2 linked regions of the Caenorhabditis elegans genome follow. The protein of the gene in region 1 purifies or fractionates together with the protein of each later gene. This does not show direct contact. Each region holds a gene or a part of one and is shown on either strand. Other genes may lie near its edges.

Region 1 (6,734 bases):
TCTTTCCTCCGTGAAAAACCGTGGATTTGATCTTCAGGTTTACGAGACCTTTTGAGAGCATGTCGGCCCATTTTTTTTGACAACATTATGATTTTGTTAGGTTTTATTCCTTGGCGAAGGTTTTTTGGAAAAACGATTCGAACACGTCGACGAACTTCTTATTTTTATAATTATCTAACATGTACCCAACCTTTAAAGATTTATTTATTTATTTTCAGTTTTCCTTTTTTCACAATAACTAGTAAAACGTATTTCAAAATACTATTTTATTTTATTTTAAAAAAATTATGATCAGTGTGGAGTGAAATATTTCAGATTTTTAAACTTTCAATTTCGTTTCTTAAAATCGAAAAATTAATTATTTTGCTTCCTAACATGAGAATTCATTTAATTTGAATTTTTCCACGAGACTAGCTTTAAAACACACATTCTCCGAATAATGTGCTCTTGGAAATCCGACAGAGAGCAACTTTTCATGATCATTTTCCTATTCTGGAATTAATAATGAAATTTGAACGGAATGATGGGGTCAGGAGTATTTATTTAACAGATCTGGTAGAACAATCATATAAAAATTGAATAAATAAATATAAATGTTGAGATTTTCCAAACAAAAAAGAGAATTATCACTTCAAGAACAATGTTTCATCTTGTCGTTTCTTTGATGTAAACACTCCAGGCTTACTCTGTGCATCCGGATGATTCGCAAGTTCAGGTGGGCATGATGACACTGGCGATTCGACCAGAACCTGGAAAAAATACGAGTTAAAATATTTTTATTAAAAGTATTTATTGAGTGATACATTTTCTTTTGAAACTTTTGAAAAAAAAAACTTTCAAAAACGATTATCTTGGAATTAGACGGAAATTTTGAAAATTAAATTCAAAACATTCATTAACGACTTAATTAAAGGGCATCTCATCGAATTAACCTTATTCGAATAAATTTTTTTCGGAGTTGTTTCTTTTTTTCATTGTAATTTTAATTCGCTTGCAGTAACTACAGTAACCCAAAAGTGGATTTTTTTTTTCTAAATTGTTCAAGAACGCTTAAAATATTTTTTTTAAATATTTTATGAAACGATTAACTGATGTTTTCATTTTTAACTACTTATTTCATCGATTATCTTTCAGAAAACCGAATGCAAATCTTTTCTTTTTTGTTGATATTTGGACAAAAAATTAAATTTTTTTTGTTGGATTTTTTATCTTTAAAAAATTTTCATTTTTTCATTGTTCTTTAAAAATAAAAATTAAACTAAAGTCCTCAATTTTTCGTTTTTCTTGTTTAGTTTCTTCTTTAATTTTTCGCAAATTTCAATTTTTATTTTTCGACCTAAAATCAAAACAAAAATTTTTTGATTTTTAGGTCCAATATCATTTTTGGTGTCCGGTTTCCGTCACAATTTTTACCTGCTTCAAGTCGAAATAGACGGCAGTATCGTCAGGTGTGAGGAATGTGATTGCTTTTCCATGTTTACCAGCTCGACCTGAAATTTAAAAGAAATTATTATATGTGATCAAGAAGAAAAGTGTGGAAGTTTTCAGATGCTAGTAGCTTCAAAATTTATGAAAACTTCTACGCATTTTTTTTCATTTTTTAAAATTTTCTTTAAATAATTTCTTACTGCTCCGCTGTTCTTTATCTTTTTTCCGTTGTAATAAATCATACTATGTGGAGATAAATTTTAAAAAAATGATGTCCTCAAGAATCTCATATTTTCCCAAAACAGAAAATTACACTTCATCAAAAAATTTCCACAGAAAAAGTGAATAAAAACATACCAGTTCTACCAATTCTGTGAGTATAGTCTTCAATTGATTTTGCCATATCGTAGTTGAGTACCAGTGATACATCTTTGACGTCGATACCTGAAAATTAAGTGGATATTATTTTGATTTTCAAAACTTTGAATTTATAATTTTTTAGTTACATTTCGAATCAAACCTCTTCAATTAGTTTTTTTTTTAAATAGGGGAATCTCAAATTTTTGGGTTTTCATTCAGAAGAGTTTGAAACTTTCAAGAAACGTTATATACCGTATATTCTCTATTAGAGCGGCATGCCGCACTAATTTCCGGGCCCTTCGCGACGTGCGCTCTATTAGAGACTGCCGTTCTACTGGATACTGCCGCACTAATTTTCGATAACTAATTTTCATATTGAAGTTACTACTGTTGGGAGTAGTAACCTCAAAATTTCCTTATAAAACCTCATATTTTATGGAAAAATTCGTGAAAATTGTGTAATTTTGCCTCACAAAGACACTAAAATTCAATATTTAAATGAAAATTTATGAATTCATTCAAGAATGAACAAAAATATCTTCGAAGAAATCGAATAATTGAGGTGGCTCTCGCACCCAAAAAAAGGGGTGCCACACTAATAGAGACTGCCGCTCTAATTTTCGAAGAGCCAGTTAGGGTGCCGCTCTAATAGATACGCCGTACTATTAGATACGCCGCTCTAATAGAGAATATACGGTATATATATACTTGAAAAAAGTATTTGAATCAACAATTTTTTTCCAAAAAAAAAAACGAACCTCTTCCAGCAACATCAGTAGCCACAAGAATATCACTCGTTCCTTCTTTAAGAGCCTGCAGAGCGTATTCTCTTTGATCTTGACCTTTTCCTCCGTGAAGAACTGTTGGCTTGAAACCAAGTTTGGTAAGACCTTTTGAGAGCATATCAGCACCTTTCTTCTGATTGACAAAAATAATAATCGGTGGTTGGAATTGTGATTCGAGCACTTCGACGAGCTTCTTACGTTTACGATCCTCTGGAACCATGTAGACTACCTGAATACGAAATATTTTGGAATTTTTAAAAAACTTGAAATTTTTTTGAAATTTCTTACTAAAAAATACTAGCCTCTGAAAAAAGACACTGAAAACAGAATTCCCCCTTTCTGCGTGGTTTCAATCCAGAGATGGGACTTTTTTTTGGCATTTTTTGGTAATTTGACGAAAAATTAATTTTTTGATTTTATTTTTTAGAAAACCAACAAAAAACCAAACAATTTTTCACTTTTTTCAGTTAAAAAACAATTTTTTGGGTGTTCTTAATTAGTTTTTAGCAAATTTTAGTTAACAACTTTTATGAAGCTACTTTAGGAAGCTGCCTTAGTTCTAGTAATTTTTCTAGTTCAGCTTAATGTCGAAATATGAAAAACGATTCTCATAATTATTTTTCTTTTCTACCAAGAATAAAATAAATTACCTGTTCAACTCTTTCTGTAGGCTTTCCAGCAGATCCAATATGTACAACTGCTGGTCTTCTGAGATATTGTCTGGCAAGTCTTTCGATAGCTGAAGACATTGTAGCTGTGAACATGACAGTTTGTCGATATTTCTCTCTTGTTGAGAATCCCTTCATCAAAGCTTCTTCATTATCGAATTCATCCGTATCTTTCTTCATATTTGTATCTGGCATGTACTCCAGAACCTTCTGAACATCTGGTTCAAATCCCATGTCAAGCATTCGATCAGCTTCGTCAAGGATCACATAGGTACACTGATTCAGGAGAAGATATCGATTTTCCAGAACATCGAGAAGACGACCTGGTGTTGCAATGACCACTTCAACACCCATTCGAAGCTTCATTCCTTGATCTTCTCTGCTGGCTCCTCCGATTACTGAAACGGTCTTGATACCGAGAAGCTTTCCGAACTTGTTGGTTTCCTCTTCAATCTGCTGAGCCAATTCTCTTGTTGGAGCCATAATAATAGCATATGGACCCAAGTCCCGATGTTCTTGTCGTTCCATTTTTGGAAGGCTTGTGATCCATACAAGCAGCGGTAGAAGGAAAGCTGCAGTTTTTCCTGATCCAGTTTCAGCTACACCGATTACGTCACGATTCTGAAGACCAATTGGGATGGCTTGTCTCTGAATAGGTGTAGGTTCCAGATAACCAATTTCTTTGACAGCTTGGTAGACTTCATCTGGAAATCCAGCTTCTTCCCAATTACGAAGAGGTCGTGGAACTCTGCCTCCTTTAATAGAAATATTGAAATCTTCACGGAAGATACGCCAATCTCTGTCAGACATCTCAGAAAGTTCTTTCATTCTCCAATGACGATCATCATGAGCCACTTTCTTTTCTTTTTTCAGTTCTTTTTCAAGGCGATGCATCTCTTGCTCTTTCTCATCAACAGTTCTTCGATTTTCCATCATTTCCTGGTAGAACGAGTTCTTCTCTTTTTTCTGAGCATTCACATCCGTTCCAGCAACAGATCCTCTTCCAAAGAACTGAATTTCATGTCGACTTTGATATAATTTGTTATAATCCTGTGATGTATCCTCTCCAGCATCCCAATCAAAAACAAACTTTTTCTCATGAAGTCTCCGTCCTCTTTTCTTCTTTTCCTTCTGTTTTCCAAGATATCTGTCTTTAACAGCATCTGCCATTTTACTAACATCTTCTTCATTATCACTATCCTCGTTTCTATCTCTTTTCCGATCATCATTTCGATCCCTTCTATCTCTACTTCTACTTCTATCTCGACGCCTTCCACCATCACGATCACGGCTCCTGCTCCTTCGTCGTCTATCTCGAGAACCACTTCTCTCCCGACGATCCCGTCGACGATCACGATCACGTTCCCGTTCACGGTCTCTGTCACGATCATTGCCTCGGTCAAGTCCACGATCTCTTCTATCGTCTGATGTTTTTTCGGTGCGTCCCCAATTTTTTCGAGCTTCTTCAGCTTGTTTTTGTGTTTCACGCAGTTTTGCGACCTCCTCTTCTCTTCGTTTCAGAGCCAATGCGGCCCGCTCGGCTTTTGACAGAAATTTTGGCTGAAAATTTGAAAATGGTTTGGTTTTTAAAAAATATGCGATGTTTTTTGAGATATTAAAAAATAATACATACCTTTGCCAATTCATCTTCTTCTCTTTTCTTCTTTTCCAGAAGTTCCTCAAGTGATGGAGGTTCAGCAGCCATTTCTCTGGAATTTAAGAACTTAAATGTTTGGAAAACTAATTAAAAATATGCTTTTACAATGGGAAAATGTAAAAAAACCAATTTTTAACATAAACCTACAGAAATGCATTCACCCTTTTCGTATATAATACACGCGACCGAGGTGGTATTTGTTAGGCCGCGCTCTCTTAGCGGGACATTCGAAAATGTCAATTCTCCGAATATCATATTAATTTTCTATAGAAATAAAGCTTCGCGCACATACACAACCGGAAACCAATCATAATAATATTAAAAGCAAGAAGCCTTTATTGCGCAAAATCAAAAAGGAACGTGCATGAAAAAATCAACAAATTCTCAAATGAAAAGCAATAAATTTTGATGAAAATTTAAGAAATTGGGGGATAATAAAGAAAAAGAAAACAGATCGATCTTTGTTGATTATCGCTCGAAGAAAGCTATAAAAACAAACGGTAAAGTTGGGCTTGTTGAACGGGATGGGGAATATTATCAAACACGGCAACAGATCATAGAAACGGACACACTGGGGGGAATAGAAAAACAATTTTAATATTTATTCTGGTTGTGGCTGCTTCAAGTTGGTCATACCAGCGCGCATCACTTCATCAACAAGCAAGAGATTGCATGCAAGTACTGTCGCCGACGAGATACTGTTCTTCTTCACCGTCACATTGTCCCAAATTCCTTGTGGCTCGACAGCTCCTCCGGTTTCGAGATCGAGTCCAACGGCGATATCTGGTCCAGCGGCGGTTTTCTCCTCAATAAGCTTAACAAGTGTTTCCTGAGCATCATATCCTCCATTTACGGCCAGTGTCTTTGGAATAACGAGAAGAGCTTGAGCAAACGCTTCAGCTCCGAGCTTGGCACGTCCCTTCAGGTTCTCAACATCTTTTTTCAACATCACGTAGGCAGCAATTTCGAAAGCAGCAGCTCCAGGGAGAACAGCCTCTGAAAATAGGTTACTAGAACAGAAGTTAATAAAATTTAAACTCACTGTCAACGATGGTGTTGAAAACAGCACGAAGTCCATCATGAATAGCATCCTTGATTTGAGTGATGGTATGCTTGTTTGGTCCCTTGATAAGAAGAGTCACAGATTTTGGAGCACGGCATTCCTCGATAAACGTGTATTTCTCTTCTCCAAGGGAATGCTCGTAAACGAGTCCAGCCCATCCAAGATCCTCTGGAGTCAAATCATCAACTGAGTTGACGGCTTCTCCTCCGACGGCCAGCTGAAGACGTTCCATGTTACGTCTCTTGGCACGACGAAGAGCAAGAATTCCTTCGGAAGCAAGCAAGTCAAGAGATGGAGGATCGATTCCTTTCTGGTTGATAACAACGAATCCCTTATTCTTACCATCTGGAGAATTATCAATAACCTTCTTCTTCAACTCAATAATCTTGTGAACACGACGAGTAATGAATTCACGTTCGGCAGCGAGAAGTGCCTCACGTTCCTTGGCGGTCTTGTAGAAAAGTCCCGAGTTGACTTCAGTCTTCTCGTATTCCAAAGAAACGTTGCAAGTGAGAATGTAAGCGTCTTTAACGTGTCTTGGCATATCTGGGTGACGAGCTCCATGATCGAGAACTAATCCACGAACAAGTGTGGTATCCATATCACTGTCGTGGTGCATTTCCATCTTTTCAACCATATGAAGATCTGGTTCCTCTCCATCACGACGGATTGCCAAAACGGCGTCGACAACGCATCTGAAATTAAGAAGATAATGTTTTTTACTACTTTTTAATTGTTTGTTTCTTACTCGGTGATGTGATCAGCAAGTTTCT
Region 2 (7,379 bases), on another chromosome or scaffold:
AATGTCATTTTTCAAAAATCCGCCGCAATGCCATTTTTCAAAAATCCGCCGCAATGTCATTTTTCTGAAATCCGCCGCAATGTCATTTTTCGAAAATCCGCCGCAATGCCATTTTTCTGAAATCCGCCGCAATGTCATTTTTCTGTTAGAGGGATTTTTTATAAGACGGAAACACTCAAAACTGTGTCTTTTTGAATTTTTTCCTTTTTTTCTCCATATTTTCATATAATTTGCTTACTTTTCAAAATACATGTAAGAACATTCGTAGGATGCGTTTAATTTTGCCATTTGAAATTGAAATTTTGAAATTTCCAAAAAAATAAGTGCAAAACCACAATTTGCCGAAAATTTTCGGCAAATTTTCAATTCCGATTTGCCGGAATTTATCCGATTTGCCGGAAAAATCGTTTGCCGCCCACCCCTGTTTCATAATTCGAAAGTTTGGTTTTTTGGTCCAAAATATTTTGTGTGTCAGTGTTTTTATTTAAAGCATGCTTGTTTCTAATTCCATCTTTCGTTCCGAAAAATTTAAAAATCTGATTTAAAAAATTGTTTTTTTCATTTATGTATTTTTAAACTTAAAAACTTTCAAAAACACAACAAAAATCGGTGAAAAAGATAACAATATAACAATAAAAAGTAACAGAAACAGGCAAAAATAACAATTAATCCTTTTCATCATCGGCAATTTGCAACTGTTGCTGGAATTCTTCAGTTTGTGCTTTCGATTTTTTGACTCCTTTCTTATTTCCAGCAAACTTCTCGGCCGTCTTTTCACGAAGTTCTTCCACAGTTTCATCGTCTTTAGCCCATTCCAAAACTAAACGTCTTCCGTACAGATGAGTAGAGTGAACAAGAGAATCAAATGCTCGATGAGCCTCATCTGCCGAAATAAAATCGACGAATCCGAATCCACGATGTTGTTGCTTTTGTCCTGGCTTTTTAGGAATACGAATGGTTTTTACAGCTCCAAAAGTTTCAAAAAGAGTTTCAACTTCTTTAACTGATGCTTCAAATGGTAGATTTCTGACCAAAAGCTTCGTACATTCTCCCTGCTCTTTTTGCTTCACTTCCTTTCGTTTTAGAGCTCCCTTGTCGGCGTTCTGAATAAAAAATAAATTTAAATATTTCCATTATAACCTCTATACCTCTCTATGCGAAATCTTCAATTCTAGAGAATGACCATCAAGAAGCTCTCCTTGCATATCTTTCAGTGCAGTTTTCGCGTCGAATGCAGTGTAGAACTGAACGAATCCGAATCCCATGGAAAGTGGCTTCGTTGGCTCCGCTGGATTGAGCTTCTTGGAGATTTGCGCAGATTTAACGAGGTCTCCATATCGTTTTCTGAAAACAAAAACCATTTATGAAAAGATTCTATTACACTTGATAGCTGCGGAATTTTCAACGATTTTTTTTTCTCATGATTTGTTTAAATTTAAGTGTTTTTTTAATTTGAGTTTTTTTAATAAATAAAACATTTTATCGAAAACCTTTTTTTTTTAATTACATCACTATTTGGATGATGATAGAAAATTGACCGTAATACCAAAAATTAATTTTTAAATTAAAAAAATAATTTTTTTTCGGCAGAAATTTAAAAAAAATTAGCTTATTATTTTTTAATTCCCGCACAATTTAATCACTTAGTTTTGATATTTTCTCGTTTCCCGGCTATATTTATTTAATTTTCGTTATAATTTGTAAAAATTCGCTAAAACTCCAAAATTGGCATAAAACTCAAATTATAATTATTTAGCGAAAAACTGTCTGAAAATTTGGCAAACAGTGTTTTAAATTAATTATTAAAGAAAAAACAAAAAATTTCAAATCTTTTGCAAAATTGAAAAAATTAACATTTTTATATTAATTTTTTAGATTTTTTACAATAATATTTGGTCATTACGGTCCTACTCCACCATTAAAGGCGCACACCTTTTTTTTCAATTTATCAAAAAATTGTCGTGTCGAGACCAGGTGGCATAATAATCGCAGGATTTCGCATGTGGATAATATAGATTTAATTCCATACCTGAACAAGAATTCCAAGCTTCCATCGGTAGTGTCGAAAGCGAGATTTTTGACGAAAAGCGTACTTCCAGACTCAATTTCCTTTTCCGACTGCTTCTTGGAAGACTTTTTCTTATCTTCAGCTTCAACTTCTTTCGGTTTTTCTTCCTCTTCTATCACCTCTCCGTCATCCTTCTCTTCTTCAGTAATACCTTGCTGCCGATTCTTTCTTTCTTTTCTTTTCTCTTCATAAGTCATTTCTCTCTTCGATAATTTCGGTTTATCAGCTACTTCTGCAGTCTTATCTTCTGCAGGTGGTGCAGTTGCTCCCATGACGTCATATGGAGCCCATTCCAAGTACAAGGGTTGACTTCTAAATCTTGAATAAGCTAAAGCTCTGAATGCTTTCTTCGCGTCAACTGGATTTCCCATAATGACAAGTGCACTGACACCTCCTTCCGTTGGCATCAGAACCTTCGTACAATCGCCAAATTTCTCGAACATTCGTTGAAGTTCTTCAGATTCGACGCCAGCAGGCAAATTCTTTGCAAGCATTACAGTATCACTACGTTTTTCGGCTGGTTTCGAGAATGCGTCGAGTTTCACACCGTTTTCGAGGAAGAAATCACGAGTTTCACGGACGAGACGAGTTTCAGCAAGAGCGAGACGAACTCCAGCTGATTCACCTGAAAATAGAAGTTAAATAAGCATAAATTAAAGAAAATTTCAAAAATTCATTAAGAAACATTTGTTATTAAAACATTTCAAATAGGTGCCCGCAAAAAAAACTGAATCTAAAAAATTTTTGTGCTATTTTTTAAATCAAAATGAGTGGTATTTAGAAAATTAATGTAGAGAAATATCTGAAATTTTGTTACTTTTGACTGAAAAAAATCGATTTTCAGAGGAAAAAAGTTATTATTTTACCCCAAAAAACGTTGATGTACAGAAAATCAACAATTTTTTTCCGAAAAATGAGCTTTCATTTAAGATTTTAGGGAAAAAATGTAACTTTTTGAACTATTTTAACTTATTTTTCGTCAAATTCTGGGCTTTTTAGGTTAAAAACAGTGTTTCCCACTATTGCCGGTTTTGTGAACTTTCGGCAAGCAAATGCCGAAATTTGCCGAAACTTCACGAAACCGTCAATTGTCGGAATTGCCAGAAATTCACAAAACCGGCAATTGGTGGAATTGCCAGAATTTTTGAATACCGGCAATTGCCGAAAATTCACAAAACCGGCAATTGGTGGAATTGCCAGAATTTTTGAATACCGGCAATTGCCGAAAATTCACAAAACCGGCAATTGGCGGAATTGCTGATTGCCGGAAATTCTGAATACCGGTAATTGCCGGAATTGCCGGAATTGCCGAAGTTGCCGGAAATTTCCGGAAATTCACAGAAACCGACAATTGCCGAAATTGCCGAAACTTCACGAAACCGGCAATTGTCGGAATTGCCGGAAATTCACAAAACCGGCAATTGGTGGAATTGCCAGAATTTTTGAATACCGGCAATTGCCGGAACTGCCGATTGCCAGAAATTCACAAAATCGACAATTGACGGAATTGCCGGAAATTTTGAAAACCGACAATTGCCGAAAATTCACAAAACCGGCAATTGGCGGAATTGCTGATTGCCGGAAATTCTGAATACCGGTAATTGCCAGAATTGCCGGAATTGCCGAAGTTGCCGGAAATTTCCGGAAATTCACAGAAACCGACAATTGCCGAAATTGCCGAAACTTCACGAAACCGGCAATTGTCGGAATTGCCGGAAATTCACAAAACCGGCAATTGCCGGAATTGCCGAAATTGCCGGAAATCAAAATAGCCGGAAATATAAATTTGAAACTTTTTGTAGATAGGAGCCTAAAAATGCATTTCAATGAACAATTTTCGATTTTCAAGGTCAAAATTATGTAATCCTTAAAGGATTGAATGTTTTATGTATTTTTCTGAGAAAATGGCTACCCGAATCTTGTAAAAACGTGGTGACATTTTTTCAATTTCCAAAATATTATTAGGTTTGAAAATTGCCGGAAATTTCCAAAACCGGCAATCGCCGAAAATGCCGGAAATTTCCAATTTCCGCACTGGTTCAGAGTACTGTTCTGCGGCTAAATATTTTGTGGTCGCCTATTCAGAAGGTTTTCTTTCAAAAAACACATAAGTTTCGAATTGTAGTCGTTGTTACTTCAAAATATATTCCAGATCTACCTTGATCACTAGTCAATAAATCAGATTTCTTGACATTTAAACGTTGAGCCAATGTATCTGCAATCGCATTGGCTCCCAAGAACAGAGCATTCCACGAATGGGCAGTTTTCCCGGCGGAAGCTTTTTTCTGTTCATCTTTCTCCTCTTTAAACGACTTCTTTTTCTTTTCTTTCTTTGCTTCAGCCTTCAATGGATTATCTGGATCATCTGGAACAACTTCAGATTCTTCTTCTCCTTCTTTCGTACGCTTCTCATCTCCTGGTAAAATATGCATCATACGTCCTTTGAATACATATCCATCTAGTGCCGAATATGCAGCAACTGCAGCTTCTGGGAATACAAATTCAACAATTGCGAATCCTTTGCACGCGCCTGTCTTCTTATCAATAACTACTTGAACTTCAGATACTTCTCCGTACTTTTTGAATAAAAATTGTAGATCGTCTTCTTTAGTGGCGTATGGTAGATTTCGAAGAAAAAGACGTCCAGTTTCAAGAATCTTTTCACGAACAGTTTCTTCCTCTTTATCTCGACTTTCCAACGATGCTCCATGCTCTTCTATAACTTCATGCTCCGGTTCTGGAGTTTCAATCTTTTCAATTCCAATTTTAAATCCTCCCAAGAATTGTCCATCTTTCTGAAGTGCTCTTCTAACATCTGGTGGTCTATTGAACGTTACAAATGCGGCGGCAACATCCTCATTTCTAGCGATTTTCATGGCTTTAACACGAATCGGATTGAGCCATTCTTTGATATTTTTGCCTTTTGCTGAACTTGGAAGCCCGGAGAAAATTAGCGAAAGTGAGGTGTCACCTGAAATATTAAAAACCATTTTATATATTAAATTCAAAAATGTATTTTTTACCTCCAATTCCGTCCATGAGCTCTGCCATCAATTTCTTTGCTTCTGCAGATTTATCTTTACTCAATTTCACTTCTTTCTCAACTACAACTCCTTTTGCTTCTAAAAATTGATCAAATTTCGCATCGTCCTTCTGCTTTTTTGGAGCTGGTTCTTCGGTTTCGTCTGATTTTCCCGGATTTGCTTCTTCTTTCTCTCCATGAGTACGCTTGTAAGCACTTGAATCTTTAGCATACTTGCTCCAGGCTCTCGGCTTGTTTGCATCACCAAATGGACGACATTCTTCAACCTGAAAATTCATTTTTTTTTTAAACAAAAAACGTTAATTATCTGACTCACCGTTAACTTTTTCGAATTAAAAAATGTTTGATTCGATTTGGCTAACGCATTTGACGCAGATCCTTCGTCTAAAAATCCGACAAAAGCAAATCCACGGAATTTTCCTTCCTTTGTGTACTTTAGCGACGCATCGGAAATCTGACCATATTTTTCGAAAAATTTCCGTAGTTGCTGTTCCGTGCAGGTGCTAGGCAAGTTTTTGACAATTAATCGAGTTGTCATGTGTCTGGAAATGGAATCTCAAAGAAAAAATGAATATTTTCTGGCAAAACCAGGTTTTTAACGAGGAAAATGGGTAAAAAATAAATAAAAATGGGGGAAGAAATCCGTGTCGATTTACGTTAAACAAAGCGGCCTGTGGAATGTCGGAGCGTCGTAGTCATAGCGCGAAATTGAAATTGGAGACCTCACGAAGAAGAAAGATTTAATGTAGTGCAGAGATGAAAATCTAAGAGATAGGAAAACAAATTCACGTTTTAAAATATTAAAATTTCTGATTATTGTTTATTCACGCAACGAAAAAAGAAAATACACGCCATTTTCGCAGAAATACGGATGTGAAGTTTTTCAAAATTCATTCCCTACTCTAGTTTTATAAAATTGTTCTACTCGATTCTCGAAATGGCTCCAACACGTACTTCACGACGCAGTTCAGCGAACTTTTCATTCGACGATGTAAATGTTGAGGAACAGAGGTGAGAAAGAGACTTGAAGTGGCTGCTAATTAGAAAGTTGGTGGCCGATTTTTCTATTTACTCGGCCATGTAGCAAAAGCCGTCCAGTGCAAAAAAAATCAATATTTCGTTTTTAAGGCAAGCGTATCTCCGCTACGAACAGGAATTGAAGGATCTCGCACTTGCTCGAAACCTTGAGAATGAATTGAACTGGGGGCCAAATCCAGCCAACCCAGCGCCTCCTCAAAATCCTCCACAACCTGAAACTGTTCATATCCAAGTGAATCGAGATAATCCTCAAGCTCAACAACAAAATCTGACAGGAACCATAGCTCCAGCTGGAAGAGAAGGTACTGGAGTACAGGTGGCTGCTGTGGCCCCGGATCCCACCAGCGCAGCGACTGGGTCACAAGGACAACCAACTCCCCAGAATGCACAAAATCAGCCAACAATCAGAGCCGCAGCTGGAAGAGAAGGTTATGGAGGCCACGTGGACGTTTTACCGGCCGTTCTTGCAAGAAACTTGCCGTCACAAGGAATCAATGAAAATGCCATAACCCTTGATGATGACGAATCTGAAGTCAAATTGTCAGACTCTTTTGAAGCTGCTCCATCGAATCAGCCAAGCACATCACAAGGCACCTCAAATCATGCAGCTCGAGTTGGCTCACCGATCGGCGCACGGGGAGAGTGTACCGTCTGTTTTGAGACTCCAGTTGACCCACAAGGCTGTAATCGATGCATGAACGTTATTGGATGCAAAACGTAGGTTTTTGTGGCCGTGAAAAGATAAAACTCGGTCACCGTCGTATTTTCTTGAGAAGTCACTGCCGTTTGATCTTCGAAAATTGCAGTGATTTGGGTAGATCAAACCGTACTGGGAATTTCTGACGCCTTGTAAGATTTGGCTCTAAAATTGGTAATGTGAGCGCTAGAATTATTTTGAGTGAAAATTCGACTAGAATTGAGCATTTGAAAATAAACGCACAAAATAATGTTGCGCTGGTCAATCAGCCTATGCGTATCGTTCATTGGTCGGCACACTTCCACGTGGTGTCAGGCTGTCCCATTGCGGTTTGATCTACAAAAAATGCGGGAATTTTTAGCCAATGACAGCACGTGCACTTCTCGATTGCGCGCGAGTTTGAAAATCATGTCTCAAGCCTCGGCTGGGTTTAATCTGAGCATTTTTGAACACTGTTTATTTCCAGATGTGTTCAAAGGTGGCACCGTTCCTCTACCCAGCCTTCGTGTCCACTATGTCGCCGTCGCTGGATC

What was found. The genes of interacting proteins can lie anywhere in the genome.
Region 2: the proteins of ddx-23 (region 1) and rbd-1 fractionate together in Caenorhabditis elegans (co-fractionation; one large-scale study listed by BioGRID). This does not show direct contact.

Annotation. Positions count from the first base shown.
Region 1 is NC_003281.10:5,848,318-5,855,051, forward strand, and holds ddx-23 (putative ATP-dependent RNA helicase DDX23), read right to left. Parts: upstream 4,953-6,734; 5' UTR 4,947-4,952; coding exon 4,875-4,946; intron 4,802-4,874; coding exon 3,224-4,801; intron 2,803-3,223; coding exon 2,547-2,802; intron 1,873-2,546; coding exon 1,786-1,872; intron 1,491-1,785; coding exon 1,414-1,490; intron 750-1,413; coding exon 627-749; 3' UTR 521-626; downstream 1-520. Other genes in the region: cct-6 (T-complex protein 1 subunit zeta), read right to left, coding at 5,500-5,894, 5,941-6,656, 6,710-6,734.
Region 2 is NC_003282.8:12,723,260-12,730,638, reverse strand, and holds rbd-1 (RRM domain-containing protein), read right to left. Parts: upstream 5,654-7,379; 5' UTR 5,650-5,653; coding exon 5,428-5,649; intron 5,378-5,427; coding exon 5,092-5,377; intron 5,040-5,091; coding exon 4,227-5,039; intron 2,694-4,226; coding exon 2,030-2,693; intron 1,345-2,029; coding exon 1,149-1,344; intron 1,104-1,148; coding exon 666-1,103; 3' UTR 544-665; downstream 1-543. Other genes in the region: T23F6.3 (RING-type domain-containing protein), read left to right, coding at 6,049-6,122, 6,240-6,866, 7,313-7,379.